Drosophila melanogaster: one gene and its partner. Changing the gene in region 1 together with any one later gene gives a genetic interaction. Each region holds a gene or a part of one and is shown on either strand. Other genes may lie near its edges.

Evidence for each region.
Region 2: of sds22 (region 1) and flw, changing one suppresses a phenotype caused by changing the other (phenotypic suppression), as found in Drosophila melanogaster (one study listed by BioGRID).

What each region holds. Positions count from the first base shown.
Region 1 is NT_033777.3:17,389,805-17,393,667, reverse strand, and holds sds22 (sds22), read right to left. Parts: upstream 2,075-3,863; 5' UTR 1,961-2,074; intron 1,912-1,960; exon of another isoform or gene 1,888-1,911; 5' UTR 1,740-1,887; coding exon 759-1,739; 3' UTR 648-758; downstream 1-647. Other genes in the region: CREG (cellular repressor of E1A-stimulated genes), read left to right, coding at 68-177; Brf RNA polymerase III subunit, read left to right, coding at 2,506-2,578, 2,640-3,008, 3,068-3,172.
Region 2 is NC_004354.4:10,384,149-10,387,748, reverse strand, and holds the start of flw (flapwing), read right to left. Parts: upstream 1,790-3,600; 5' UTR 1,238-1,789; coding exon 1,186-1,237; intron 1-1,185. Other genes in the region: Psf3 (partner of Sld five 3), read left to right, coding at 2,696-2,798, 2,867-3,261, 3,323-3,463. UniProt on the Drosophila melanogaster protein: Required for cell adhesion in non-muscle tissues and in maintenance of muscle attachment. Vital for larval development.

The DNA of each region.
Region 1 (3,863 bases):
TGAAAGCGAACCTCATTAAGAGCTCGATATGTATGTACTAATAATAAATACGTTGTTTCTTTTACAGCTCACAATTTCTACCTTTGCGAACTGGAAATTAGCAATATCTTTGTTCTGGACTTCTATGGAGGTCCTCATAAAGTGAGCGCCTCTGACTATTACGCTGTTTCGAATTGATGAACTCCTCCAAAAGCAATCCAACTGACGCCTCATATACTTTGTCAAAAAATGAAATGATAAGCATATTTGCACAACATGTCTGCCACAAAGGGAAAGAATGAAGACAAAGGCCTTTATGAAAGCCACTTATCAGTTGAGCTCTGTGATTTCAATCGATAGAACAATAACTTTGATATAAATAAAAATACATTCCGTTGAATGTACTCTGACATACTGAAATGTATTGTTTTGGTTTAAGAGAAACCAGAATTGTTTAACTAAAATGTTTTCATCTTTTTAGATTCAATTTACATTATTTATGTGTATATATAAAATACTTTTTAGTTTTATATGTTAGGCGGTAGCCTAGATGGATAATTTATCTGACTCATTAGGTAAACTTCACGCTTTGAGTAACTTATCCAAATATACCTTCTTCTGAAAGCAAACTAAATCACTGCACCCACCAATTCGTAGATAGAACCATTAGTGGTTAATTTGTATGTATATTTTAAACGCAGTTTTTCAAAGTTAATCGATATAAATGTAGTGGCGCAACGCCGTGGATTAGTCTTTCAAGGGGTTTACAGTGGTTCCATCTAGGTACCGGGCACCTTGCACAGGGTGGCATCAATCTTCTGCAGCTGCGGCAGTATGTCGCGCAGTTTGGAGCGGTAGCGAACATCCTTGGCCAGCGGATTGTACTCCAGGTAGATGGTCTGCAGCGCCTTGTTCACCTTCAACAGCTCAATGTCCTTCCAGTCATCGACTCCGTTGTGGTTCAGCCACAGCTCCTCGAGCAGTTCCAGCTTTTCCAGATTGGCAATGCCCTTCAACCGGTTCTTGGCCAAGTCGAGGGTCTCCAATTTGGTGTTCTCCGAGAGGTTTTCAATGGTTTCCACTCCGTTTTCCGAAACGTAGAGTTCGCGGAGGTTGGCAAGCTTTTCAAGGTTCTCGATTTTTACAATGCGATTGGCCTGTAGACTGAGTATCTCCAAATTGACCAATGTGTCCAAGTTCTCGATCTTTGCTATCTTATTTTTGCCCAGGAAGAGCTGTCGTAGATTCACGAGCATTTCGATGTTTTCGATCTTCTTCAGTTTGTTATCCCCCAGCTCTAGCATGGTCAGATTGGTGAGCATGTCCAGGTTCTCGATTTGGGTTATCCGGTTCGACACAAAGTAGACCTTCTCCAGCTTGACCAGCTTGTCAAGGTTCTCTATCTTCGTCAGACGATTGAAGCTAATGTCCAGCACCTCCAGGTGGGGCAAGTCGTCCAAATTCTCAATCTTGGTGATCTGGTTGTCATACAGCTCCAGCTCAATCAGTGTTTTCAGGCTGGACAAGTTCTCGATTTTCTTGATCAGATTCCAGCGCAGAAACAGGCGCTCGATTCGAGTCAGCGGCTCGAAGTTCTCCAGCTTCTCGATCCGGCGATGATTCAGATCAAGCTCGTAGCAGTCCGGATCGATTGTGATTATATCCTCAATGGAAGCCACATCCTCGGCGGGAATCACCTGGATTCCGGACACAGTTTTCGCGGCTTCTGGTTCGTTCATCGCACGATCAGCATCGCCCATGACTGATATATTTTGACCGGCTTTTCTTTTTTTTTAATTCAAGTTGACTTTCGAAAATTGAACGCTGACTTGACTTGTTGTTTATTCCGCTGCTCAGGGTGGAACAAAGTGGGGTGACTTTCTTTAAATATGACGTCAAAGCTTGACACTGTTACAAAAGCAAGAACACACGGTAAATATAAATATGTAAATTTAAAATAAATATGTATTAAAATATTTACTTAATATTTATAAGTTAAGTCCAAGATGACTGTATACTCCTTTTGGTCCAACTTGTTCAATATGTCAACAAAATACTTAGTCACCTTACCGGCACTTTAACACTATTTCTACTAGAGATGTGCACCTAAGAACACGATGCTAAACCTGTATTATTATATATTCCAATGTAAATGAAAAACAAATATTGATTGATAATTTGCCAAATAAACTAGAACATAATTTTTGGAACCAGCTTTACGTAATTTTTACAATTTTAATATCTCTTTTAAGTTTTTCAAGCAGTTGTGCCAATGTCGTTCTTGATTGAGAAATGCGCATCTCTAGCATTTCTTCTTCTATCATCAGTGTTAAGCAACGCCGGCGGGGTTCAATCAGATGTTTTCCAAGCGTGTTGATTCAATTGGCAACAAATTGCAAATTGTTTAAAAAAGACTCGAAAATGGCTTTCAAATGACAGCAAACAAGTAGTTTAAACTGTCAAAACAACGGATAAAAACGAAGCGTTGCAGGTGGCAGTGTTTATTAAAGCAAAGAACAAACAATCATGTCTACGGGCCTAAAATGTCGCAATTGCGGATCCAACGAGATCGAGGAAGACAATGCTCGCGGAGATCGAGGTATAATGACATCCAAGGACCCATATCCATGACACTAACGACGTTCACCCATTCACTGTAGTTTGCATGAACTGCGGCTCGGTATTGGAGGATTCCCTCATTGTTTCCGAAGTGCAGTTCGAGGAAGTTGGCCATGGAGCAGCCGCAATTGGCCAGTTTGTGTCCGCCGAGTCGTCGGGCGGTGCCACCAACTATGGCTACGGCAAGTTTCAGGTGGGATCGGGCACCGAATCCCGCGAGGTGACCATCAAAAAGGCCAAGAAGGACATCACACTACTCTGCCAGCAGCTGCAGCTATCCCAGCACTATGCAGATACTGCTCTGAATTTCTTCAAGATGGCATTGGGTAGGCATCTGACCCGCGGTAGGAAGAGCACCCACATCTACGCCGCTTGCGTGTACATGACCTGCAGGACAGAGGGCACCTCCCGTGAGTAGTGCATTCATTTTGCCTAAAGAGTAGCTTATTGACTGCTCATATCTTCACAGATCTCCTCATCGACATCAGCGACGTACAGCAAATCTGTTCCTATGAGCTTGGTCGTACCTACTTAAAGTTATCGCATGCCCTTTGTATCAACATACCTTCTCTGGGTGAGTGAACGTTGTGAATACTAAACTATACACCTAAATCCCAATCCACAGTCAAGTCAAGCCATAGCTCCACTCTTAATTTTTGTTTTTTTAAAAATATTTTGTTGGGTTTGTTAGATTTGCTTGCTTTCCTTTTATCAGGTATTTAACAATACTCTACTCGTTCCTGTTTTCTTTATGCACTACTTACGTGATGTCAAAATATCCAAAATCTTCAACTCTGAGAAAGTAAATTCGCAAAAATCTAATAATGTATTTTGTTTGATTAAAGTACATAATGGTAATAGATTCATAATCAATACAGGATAACATTTTATATAGATATATGTATATAAAAACCATAATTGTCTTATCAAAAGCAAAAAATCAGTACAATTTCCAAAGAAATCCGAAATACAAACGTAAAACTGATTGTTGCGCTCAGCAGGCTATAATAATGCACAGGAGAAGTACGGGGCTTAGTATCAGTAGAAAGGCATATTGTGTATGTATGAGAGATATAATGGAACAACTACGAAATAGATATAATGCGTACTACAAGATTAATATTTGAATATATATGTAGGGGGGATTTTGTGCGCATCTCGTACAAGATCCCTTGATTTCATTTTTGTTTGCTATTTCGTTAACTGGTTAACTTGGGTTTCAAATTCGTCGTATGCAACTATTAACATGGCCTATTCTCCCTCGA
Region 2 (3,600 bases), on another chromosome or scaffold:
AAAGACAGAATCGGAGGAAGAAAAGCGAAACTCATTGCGGAAATGGACAAAAACCGAAAATCGCAATGTTCAAATGCAATTTCCCCGTGGCGTCGGTCAGAGCTAAAGCCAAATGGTGGCGGCGGCCCGCCCCCCGGAAAAGCGGAAAAGCCCATCCCGTCCCATGCCGTATCTTCGACATTGGCTGACACTTGCAAAACGAGACAAGCACTAAGCGGCTTAAGCAACCCTCGCAGATGTTGGGTTTTCACCAGGGCAAAGGCATATCGCATTCGAAACCTAGAAGAGGTTGCAAAAATGTAAACTATTTAGCGCTTTTACGCTTTGCAGGAAGGTTGCATGATGACGACGATGACACAGCCCCCACCACCCATTCTAAGCCACATACAGTGGATATCGGCTATAGCGGTCGATACCCAGTAAAAATTATATTGATATTGATCGCTGGATAAAAATATCTTCTTGGGGGCTAGGAAATATAGGATATATCGGTCGTAGATTTCTCAACCGTCTTTAGCGATAGTTGCGTGACACGAACAGCGATCCCACTCCAACGGGCAGTGGGGTTACTTGCGACAAAGCTCCTTATCGAGTAACTCATGTGATTCCGTTCCATTCCTTCGTCGGCGATTTCATAGCTACACATTCTGTTTGAATCACGCCCGTGTTTATCAGCTCGATGACGTCATTGCCAATATAGGCGAAACAAGAAAAAACACAGCTAATAAACCAAAAATCATTTGGGAGACATTAGCGCAGGACAGAGATGGCGTGCTTAACAGCGCGATCACTGTTAGTATTATGTAAACGCTAATGAGCGTAGCGTAGATGCTGTCGCTGTTGTTGTTGTTGTTTTTATGGTTTTTGCTGTTTTTCAAGAGGAGCAATGAAAATCAATTAAAACTAATTGATTCAAGAGTCAAATTCAAACGGTTGCAGCGGCAGCAGCGGTGGCGGCGGCGGCGGTAGAGAGAGGGGCTGTCGCAACAACAAAAAGAAAACCTACTACCATTTAAGCGAACAATGTGCAATAATTAGAAAATGCAATCGCACACACACACACACGCAGATAAACTGTGTAATAAATTAAAATGGGGACAGTGGCGTGGGAGGGGCGTAGAGGGTTTGGGGGGGAGGTTTTGGGAAAGTAGGATTGAAAGAGGGGGAAATTTCGCATCTACTTACTCTCCAGCAGCCGCTGTATCAAGCTGTCCACATTCAGATCGAAGTCGCCCATTTTTCAGCAGCTAAATTGTTCTTCTATTGGCCGCGTTTTGTTGTTGTGGCCAGCTGTTCCAGAATTCCGATTGGAATTTTTGGCGCAACAACTACACGCACGCACACACAAGCACACACACACGCACAGCGACGCCCGTTAGCTTATAAACTTGTATTGTATGCTATTGTAAACAATAAACTTTGTTTAATTCAAATAGTCGTTATATTCTTTTCTCTTTTTTGGTCGTTTTCTTACTTGCCGCAAAAGGCAATTTCACTTTATGCTCTCTTTTTTTCTTATTGAGATTTTGTACGGTGGGCCGCTGATGTTCACTGATGTTGCACGAGGGGCAAGAACAGAAAAAAAAATATATAGACGCACGGCTGATCGACTTTCGGGATCGCAAATCGATCAAGGAATATATAAAATATATATATCTATATAGATGTGTTAGATCTCTGCAGGGGGAGAGGAGCTGAGAAATCGGCTTAACTGAGAATTTATAAACCAGCGTAATCTTTTCTCCGCCAATAACAAAACTCGTCGGACAGCTAGCTGAGTATGACCGTTTGCCGGAAGGCTGAAAAAGTTTTTGGTGGCGGCGGCTTTACAGTTCGACTTTATCGATAGTCCGATGGGCAACGAAGCCAGCCAGTGCTCAGCAACGCGGGAGTTAACTGTCAAAGTCCTTTTTCGCACTTCAACGCTCGTGCCTTCAAACTTCTTACTGTGAACTCAAATCTCGACCGAACAAGTTGTGTGCTCCCTATGATTTCGTTATTAACTGATATTAACTACACACACATTTCTCTAATCCTTGCACACACATAGCTAAATCGAAATGGCTCTTTCGACCATCTGTCCGTTCCTCGTCGCCAACAAGAAAAACTCGAAGCACGCGGCTTTGCTATTTTTGATCTCAAGTGGATTGATGATTTTTAATATGGGCGACTTTATCGACGACTTGATGATCATACGGCTAGATTAAGATCAATTGTTCGAAATTGAAGTCAAAATAGTCATTGCCGGGAACGAAACCTTTATTTTTATTTGTTTTTGAAAGATGCAGATAAGCCTAAGAACTTGCGGAAGAAGTAACCATCTAATTGCAATCGTATCGAATTACTATTACTAAGCTGAGTTCACATGTTCCACATCATTTACAACTTTGAGTAATTATACCCTGACTAGTAATTTTATGTATAAAAAAATGTCAAGTGCAGGCTGCAATTTAAAATTCGCGCTGAAATAAGAGTAATTTTCCGGAAAAACTATTTACATATAATACATATAAATGCTTCGATATATATAGTACATAAAACCTATCGAGTGCCTCGGCATCCAGGCAAACAGCTGTTTCTGCCTCGATAGACCCCGGCAAAATGCATCTAATATCGATAGGCGATAGGTCGCGCACTTAAGAAATTGAATTTACCTAAAGTAAACACCAAACGAATCATAAAGCTGGGCCGCGCAATGAACGGAATGAACTATTTTCCGAACTATTACTCCATCGAGGACATATTCGTGACCCAGGAGAAGGTGGAATGTCGGGTGAACACCAAGCTGCAGCGGATGGGTAAGTGATTGGCTTGGACGGACACGCACATTCTGGCCAGTAATCCGACAATATTGAGTTGCTTGCAGGATTCCTGGACTCCGGCGCGGAATCGGATGACCTGGAGCCCGGCAGGACGGTCAATCTGCCGTTGTGGTACATCAAGGAGCTGAAGGTAAACAATGCCTACTTCACCGTCGCCGTGCCAGATATCTATCGCAATGTGCATAAGGCCGTCTGCGAGGCGGAGACCACGCACATCGAGCTGGGACGCCTGCACCCGTACTTCTACGAGTTCGGTCGCTATCTGACGCCCTACGATCGCAACCATGTCATCGGCCGCATCATCTTCGAAACGCTGCGCCAGAGGGTACGTCATCTCCTGGACATCTCGAAGAGCGACGGACAGGCAGCCAAGGCGGAGCATCGACTGGATAACATCGAGGCCAAGCTGCACGAGGCTGGAGTGCGCACCAACAGTCAGGTGGGTGGCTGTACTACCAGTCAAGTGGGCACGGAGTGTTATATTAATCACATAATTTCAGTACATCGAATGGCTGCAGATGACGGGCAACAAGATTCGCACCTCGGAGCTGGTCGAGGAGCACCAAAAGAAGCGGCGACGTGCGGATCGCAGCGATGACGAGGGCGATGCTCTGCCCAACAGCAAGCGGGCCACCTTGTAACAAGCAGAGTAAAACAACAAAAACAGACCACTGATGTACTGTGGAACTGTAGCAACTTTATTTCGTCCATTCGTTCGGTGGCCATAGGGCAGCCTGACCTCTCAAAAATACACTTTTCATCTACTCTATGCACACGG